Linked DNA regions of Danio rerio. The protein of the gene in region 1 interacts with the protein of each later gene in a biochemical or structural test. Links are inferred from orthologs where the notes say so. Each region holds a gene or a part of one and is shown in the gene's direction. Other genes may lie near its edges.

Region 1 (4,033 bases):
CAACGTATGTGTGCTGTCTGGGTGTGGATCTCTGAAGCTGGATTATCCGTTGAATTTGTTTCTTCCTCTGACTGCTTTCTCCATACCAACAACTACAACTGGTCTTCAGCTGCGCTCCCCGGTCTGCTGTATTCTCCAGTCCAGAGTTTCACTGCCCAGTGTTTGAATTTTAATTTATATATTTATTTATATATTTATATATTTATTTACATTTTAATGACTTCTTGTTTACTTTTCTTGTTTGTTTACCCTTTAGTTTAATGTATGTATGTATGTAGTATATATATATATATATATATATATATATATATATATATATATATATATATATATATATATAAAAGTTTAGATTTTATATATATATATATATATATATATATATATATATATATATATATATATATATATAATCTAAACTTTATTTTATACTGTTTGCTTATAATTAGATACTGTATGTGTACTGTATGTATTAAATGTTGTGAAATATATAATAAAAAGTTTGATTATTAATTTGTGTGGCATTTTTACACTTTAAAGTTTACACATGCAGTTGTTAAATTAAATAGGAAAAATAAATGAACAATATTTCATATTAAGCAATACTGGAAAAGAATTGCTGCTTATCCTGTATTCTAGGCCCAAAAAATATTAATACAAGTAGTAAGAACGCCGCCTCGCGGTTGCTGAATGTCGCACGACAACGTTGCTACAGCCTTCTCACGTCTTACATTTCTACGTTGTGACAATGTAGCGAGCACGTAAGCGGCAACGTTGCCTTTAAAAAAATACAACGTTGTGCGGACATCGCTACAACGTAAATGTGTTTGTTGGGTACGGGGTCGTCAAATCGTTCGTTAAAGCTGATTCATCTACAGAGTTCTGTATTATCATTTTGAACAAAAATAAGTATTACTGAATAACAAACAAATATTTATTAAATAAAAATAAAAAATAATAATATAAACAAAATTACCATATTTTCACATCAGAGTCAAGCGCGTTCTGTTTCGGAACTATTTTCATAGTGACGGTTCCTACACGGTCTGCTCTTAATGTAACACTGCTAGTCTAACCTCTCACAAGCTGCAGTATAACCTTTATATAAGGTAGCTCCGAATATCGCTACGCTCATATTTTAGTACAATTTAATGCACTCGACAACAATATCAAAAGTACGTCTACTCATCCTCATTAACAATATGTTCTTTGTAGATATCTGCTGCTCTTTGCCCCCTGAGCTGATCAGAAAACTGCAAGGTGACGCTATGAAGAAACTGTAAACTTACATGTCAGGATCTAGTGAGTTCATTTAACGTCTTATACGGAATGAATTACTTTCTTAACAACAAATTAAGTAGTATTTCTGTTTATCTTCTCGATTAACTCTGAAGGTTAATAATAAACGACGAGAAAGTGGCTTTCTGAGTTTGTATGGTCACGCCCACTTTAATATTTCTACGTTACTCGGTCAAGAATCCTAAAGCTTTCATTCAAGCCCAAACAAAACTGTTAATCATTGTCCAGACTATTTTGTTCTTGCCTGTATCGTAGTTCTGTCTTAAAATAGTCTATAAAATAGTTTTGTATTTGTGTAGAATGACAGATAATTTAAAAACTATCATTGCACATAGGAATTATTGTTTTTTTAAGCACTTTGAATAAAATTGTCTTGTTTTTCAGAACAGCATCCTTGATAGAGTACCATGCAGGGACGATCATGGACCAGGTCACATTTAGAAGTGACACCGTTCTGTCTGATGTCCATCTGCTGCTACCAAACACTCGCCATCTCATGAAGAGACTCAACGGTGTGGGACAGCCTGGTAAGAAAAGCCTAAGACACATAAGCATCTTATTGGTTATATGCAGAATTAATAGTTAGTGTTTACGGCATGTTTTTTTTTATATATATATATTTTTTTATGTTATTGACCCCTAAATATGATCATACTACTCAACCAAACGACCCCCAACTTGCACCAGAAAGTCACAGTTTGAGCAAGTACTTAGCCTTTGTTGCTGTAATTAAAATGATAGTTCACCCAAAAATAAAAAATTCTGTCATTTACTCTTCCTCCATTTGTTTCAGACATTATTCTGTTTAACCCTTACTAAGATATATTGAAGAATTTTGTAAAGCATCAGCTACTGATGTCTTCCAAACTATATTTTGTTCCTACTGTTAATGTCAATGGTTGCTGGTTTTCATCATTCTTCAGAATATTTTGTCTTGTGTTCATTCATGAATGTTTAATTCAGGCCTGTATTGGCTAATGAATCCAATGGAATTCCCGGTGGGCCGGTCCATTTTTTGGCTGGGGTTTATTTATTTATTTATTTGACCATAGCCTCACTCCTTTTAATCATTATTTTGCCGCAGCTCCACTCTTTTTATATATTTTCTCGCAGCCCCGTGAGTTAAGTGCAGCCTGCAGGTTAACGATGACGTAACTATCACTCGACCCCAAATAGCGGCACCTTAGTGAATATAAGAATTCGAATAATTAATATTAATGAATATTACACCTGTTTGATATAAATCAGATGATTCACTGCATTAATAAATCTGACATAACTTGATCTGAAATCTAAAAAGTAGAGAAAAAGATTCAGATCAGATGGCAGTGCAATATTAATTTTTTATTCCAAATGCAGCAGTGTAACAGCATCTTGTGGTCCAGTGGTCAGCATGTTGCGTTACGGCGTCACTGACCTGAGTTCGAACCTCACCTGGGTAATTTTTTATTTTATTTTTTCATTTTTAGTGTTAAGTCATATAATACTGTTTTTGTTACTTATATAGGTGTACATATTTTATTTTTATTTTTTTGTGTGACCACCGTTACAAAGGACTGGATATCTATAAAGAATTTTGCACAGAATATATATTCAGAAATTGCAGGAAAGGACATTGTGATGTTTTAAAGAATAGTGTTGGAGATTTAGCTACCCTTTAATGTTCTCATATTTATGAAAAAAATGTGAAGTTCTAAAACAGCTGTTTCCTTGAAAAAGATGTGATAGTGTCATTAGAAACTGAATTGGAAATTACGTTATTTTAATATAGTTATTTGTGAACTGAGGTGGGCCGGTCTAAGGCTTGAAACTCCAGGGCTAAAAAAGAATCCCACTCTGGCCCTGGTTTAATTCCACTTGAGTGTTGTTGTTTTTTTTTTGTGAACTTGTATGTTTCCCAACCATTCTTTTATATAGATGCTGCATGTAGATTTCTGTTTCTTAAACAACCATGTCTAAATGCGCCATTTTCTTGGATGACAATGCAAAGATTTAAATTGTGAAAGAATAAGCATATTCACAAATGAATTGGCCACCACTTGACCTGAAACCCATTGGATGTATTTGAAATGCACTGGAGGAAATTTTGCCTCAGAGTCAGACAGCCAAGTTACTTTTTATATCTGTAGAAAATCTGGAAAATGCAATAAACCTTATGATGTTGCACAAGTTTGTTCAAGCAAAGGGTGTAGAATTAGCATGGATAGAGGAGGCGTGTCCCCACCAATATCCACAGATTTTTAAAATATCCCCACCAATAATTGAATCACCTCCAAAATAAAGTAATGCTTTGTTGAAATTTACCAGTGAGGCATACTGTGCAAGACTCAGGTGAGACATGGACATAAGCAGCTACATTGCAAAGAAAAGTGTCAGTCAGTTGAAGTCAACTTCACTTTAAGTCTACCATTATAGTAACCATGGAGATAAGATAAAGTCTGCCCACAGGGTGTCCGTGGGGTTAAATTCTTACATTTAAAAAAAACAAAATTGTAGGCCTTAGAAAGTTTTAAATTCACTGAAATATTGTCTTGTAAGTCTTCAATCCTTTTAAACGGGCCTTAATTTTCTTTTATTTGTGTAAAGCTAAGCTACCCAATCGCTCCAACACGCATCAAATCTCCAACATCTCAATAAAACGTTTAGCAAAACTATATTCATAACTAATTCTATAGCAGACTGTTATAATATAATGCATACATTTAGGTTTTTTTTTAATTTATGTTGGAAAAAAATT
Region 2 (4,188 bases), on another chromosome or scaffold:
CACCAGTTTCAATGGACAGTTAATTTGTACGTTTTGGCTAAATACAAAGTTCATTCTTAATGCATTTTACAAAAAAAACATAGCAGCAACCTAAATGCAAATTTTATCAAAAAGTCATCTATTTTAACAAATGCATCTTTTTAGCACAATTTTCAAAAGTTTCTTAATTTAATAAGACAAAAACCTATGAGATGGGTCAAATTGACCAAAATGAACAACTGAAAAAAATCAACTTAACCAATTTCCAAGCCCCACTTATATTATTGTACTTGTTTTAAAGGGAGTTTATACAACTTTCCTCTTTTGAACGTAAAAAAAATTATGCTTTGAAAAATGCTAGGTGCTGGAAACTGTAGGCTTCCATAGTATTTTTGTCATACTATGGAAGTTATTAGGTCCCATCAACCAGCATTCTTCAAACTCTCATCTTATTTTGTGTTCAGTGCAAACATTTAAAGGCACATGAGGGAGAATAAAAAAAGGTAATTTTCATTTTGGGGTGAACTATACCTTTAAACCAACTCTACAGACTTGATCTTTCGAATTTGTATCTTAAAAGTAGTTTAATTGTATCTTGAAGGTTTAAATATTTATATTAGACAGAGTAAGTGTACATTTTTATTGTTTTTTGTTTTCGTAATGCATACATCATTTTAAATGTCATGACTTTTCTTACTAAATTATATTTAAGTTAGATCAATACACTGCTTATTAAAATTTACAGAAAGCCATAAATATTTCCAAAAACTGCCGACATAAAGATAATAAAAATGACCTTTTATAGTGCAAAAGAAAACTTTACTTACTGTCCTTCAAGGTTGCCATGTTCCTGACCTGCCCACTGCAAAAGAAAATTAATAAGTGTTAATCTCATCAACAAATAAACAATATAATACCTCAGTCAGGACAATAATGCATCAGTAAATTTGACTTCTATTGAATGACACAGAATGCATTGCAGACACGGGAAAACAACATACCACTACAGTTAACATTTCCTGACACGATAGCATTTATTTCATTTCAACTACTTAATAAACAAACATATAAAAAGGTTTTTAATGCATATGTAGTAGTTATTACAGCTATGAAAACGTGTAAATGTCAAGTCTGGCGCTGTCATTAGGCTTAACGTTAAGCAAAGCGCGGCCTAAAGATCAGTGCGTCCTTGCTCCGCTTCAGCTGCGTTTCACTGCTCAATTAGAAACAGCTTGAGTTCTTTATGTATGCACGCAAGATAAATGCTTATTCCAGCAAAAACATGTTTTAATATAAATGAGTAAATTCTTACCATTGTGGGAGGAACACCGCCGCGCTGGTCCTGGCGAACATGTTCACTTCAATGAAGGTCAGAGCAGCCGGTCTGCGCAGGCGCAAATAAAAGCGCAGAAACGCGTACTAGTGTGTAATCTCGCGGCATCAGAGGTACACACCAATCCGTGACGAAAAACGCATATTTCAAAACGAGGAATTCGCGTCAGAACGCAAGGAAGAGGGAAAGGACTTGTACATTGGAAGAGTTGTTATTTTTACAGTACTTATTGTGATCTTTTTTAGTTTTTGAAATGGGGAAAGCGGATTTCTTAACCCCTAAAGCGATCGCGAACAGAATCAAAGCCAAAGGCCTTCAGAAGCTCCGCTGGTATTGTCAGATGTGTCAGAAACAATGCAGAGATGAAGTAAGTTTATGTGATTGTGTCGTGTTCTTTAGACACACTAATTTTATTTATTAACTTGTTTTCTTAAATTCTTAAACCTAAAAACCTTAATTATAGGTTTTATAATACTGCTTTTAGCCTTTATGTACAGTATTTTAGCCACTGTCTTAAAGGGATAGTTCCCCCCAAAATTAAATATAACTCTACTGACTCACCCTCAAGCTATTATAAACCTTTAACAGTTCATTCTTCTGTTAAACACGAAAAAAGATATTTTGAAGAAAGCTGAAAATCTTTAGCCATAGATTTCCTTAACGTTAGTAGAAAAACACTATGAATTTCAATGGTTGCATGTTTTCTTTCTTGCTTTAAAATATGTTTTTTGTTTTCAACAGAAAAAAGATACTCAAACAGGCGTGGAACAAGTGAAGGGACATTAAACATTAAAGATTTTTCATTTTGGGCTGTAATATCTCTTTAAAACGTAGAAATAGCTTTGTTTGATCAGTTTCTGTGGTCCATACCTTGGCAACATTTTGAGGAGAACATTTGAGGTCTCAGCCTTATGTTATCTAGAAAGAATTTTGGCATTACTGATTGCATCTCAAAATAGAGAGCTACTTACCGTTTTACTGGAAATCATCAACATATAAAACAAATTTGCTCTTATCTTTTTGTCATTTAAATTTAAATACATTTATTTACTCTATTGTGCCATTTGTAATAACCTGCTAAGCATTTTTAAAAACCCATAGAGAGAGAGAGAGAGAGAGAGAGAGAGAAAGAGAGAGACAGATCATTTCTCAATAAAATGAGAGATTTTTAAAATAAATGTAAATAATTATTAAATTAAAATATGAAAGTAAAAGTGAGTAATACCACTTTTAAGAAAATACAAATATATTCAAATTAGGAATGGAAAATATTGATTGGTCTAAATATATTTATTTAATTTTAAGAAAAAAAGTTCAAGCAATTTTTTTAAACATGTTCTTCGTGGATCAAAGACTTCTGCTATACATTTCAGTCAAAATTGCCTTTAGGTCAGCAGATATGCTACTTTTTTCTTAGGCTGCTAAATCTTTCCTTTTAGTCATTTTGCTCACATTGCCAATTTTAATTAGATGTCATTATTACACTTGCTGAGGATCAATATATCTGTCCTTCACAAACACGAGCATGTGTGGCAATCTCAGATATTAATCCAGATATTTTAATTTAATTCACAATGAAGAAACAAATTAGCCAGAGATCAGTTATCATGATTTAAAGAAAAATTGTGATGTCTCAAATAATCATAACATAAGATGTTTTGAGTGAGGTACAAAGAACAGAGCCTATGACTTCTCTTTGATTATATAAATATTGCGATCTAACATGATCTCTCTTGACTGCAGAACGGGTTTAAATGTCACTGCATGTCTGAGTCTCATCAGAGACAGCTGCTGTTAGCTTCTGAGAACCCCAACCAGTTCTTGAGCTACTTTTCAGAGTAAGTAAACACACTATTTATCCATATCCATCAATTTATCCAGCTATCATTGAAATAGAGTTTAATTCTAAATTCTGAATTTACAGCGAGTTCAAAACTGACTTCTTAGAACTGCTCCGAAGACGCTTTGGTAAGTTATTGCATTGTTATTATTTATATAAACTTCTTTATTTTGTGCATGTTTTGTCAGTTTAGGCTAAGATGGCTTGTGTTTGTTCTTTCAGGGACCAAACGAGTTCACAATAACATTGTGTATAACGAGTACATCAGTCATCGAGAACACGTTCATATGAATGCTACACAGTGGGAGACCCTCACCGACTTCACCAAATGGCTTGGGAGAGAAGGCAAGCATCTTAAATACTGTATTTAAAAAAAAGCAGTGTCCCATGTACTGTATGTGTAACATTACAGTGGAGATCTAAATTGTACTTTATTTTAGTATTAAAACACAAATCCACTCTTTTTGGATAATTTTTACAAGTCAACTAGAGTTAAACAACCTTGTTTTACCATTTTCTATCCATTTAACTCATCTCCAGGTCTGGTGAGAACACTTTTAGCTTAGCTTAGCATAGATCATTGAATCTGATTAGACCATTAGCATCAAAAAAGACCAAAGAGTTTTGATAATTTTACTTTTTCAAGCTCAACTCTTCTGTTGTTACGTTGTGTACTACGGCTGACAGAAAATTACATGTTGCAATTTTTTTATATTTATAATTCTGTCATTTTTGACAGGTGCTAATGGTCTAATCCGATTCAATGATCTATGCTAAGCTAAGCTAAAAGTGCTTGGTTTTACTGTTTCACTGACTTTGCAAGATTGTGAGATGATCTAAAGTGACCAAAACCCTCAGACATAGCCATAGCAAGTGAAGCTAGTCGATACAAAGTCAACTCATTTAAGTCTTCCAAAAATAGACAAATAGTCACAAAAAAGACAAATTTACGAGAGGACAGCATATGCCTAAAACGCATTCTACAATCATTGCTTTGCCATTTAAAAAAATCTGTTGCATTAACATAGTATAGCCA

Evidence for each region.
Region 2: of the proteins of mettl22 (region 1) and kin, one has a biochemical effect on the other in vitro, tested with the Homo sapiens proteins (2 studies listed by BioGRID). The link is inferred for Danio rerio from reciprocal best matches to the Homo sapiens genes METTL22 and KIN.

Annotation. Positions count from the first base shown.
Region 1 is NC_133178.1:26,655,285-26,659,317, reverse strand, and holds the start of mettl22 (methyltransferase-like protein 22), read left to right. Parts: upstream 1-1,223; 5' UTR 1,224-1,299; intron 1,300-1,680; 5' UTR 1,681-1,717; coding exon 1,718-1,823; intron 1,824-4,033. UniProt on the Homo sapiens protein: Protein N-lysine methyltransferase. Trimethylates KIN at Lys-135 (in vitro).
Region 2 is NC_133179.1:25,832,369-25,836,556, forward strand, and holds the start of kin (DNA/RNA-binding protein KIN17), read left to right. Parts: upstream 1-1,379; 5' UTR 1,380-1,565; coding exon 1,566-1,679; intron 1,680-3,055; coding exon 3,056-3,150; intron 3,151-3,236; coding exon 3,237-3,280; intron 3,281-3,374; coding exon 3,375-3,497; intron 3,498-4,188. UniProt on the Homo sapiens protein: Involved in DNA replication and the cellular response to DNA damage. May participate in DNA replication factories and create a bridge between DNA replication and repair mediated by high molecular weight complexes.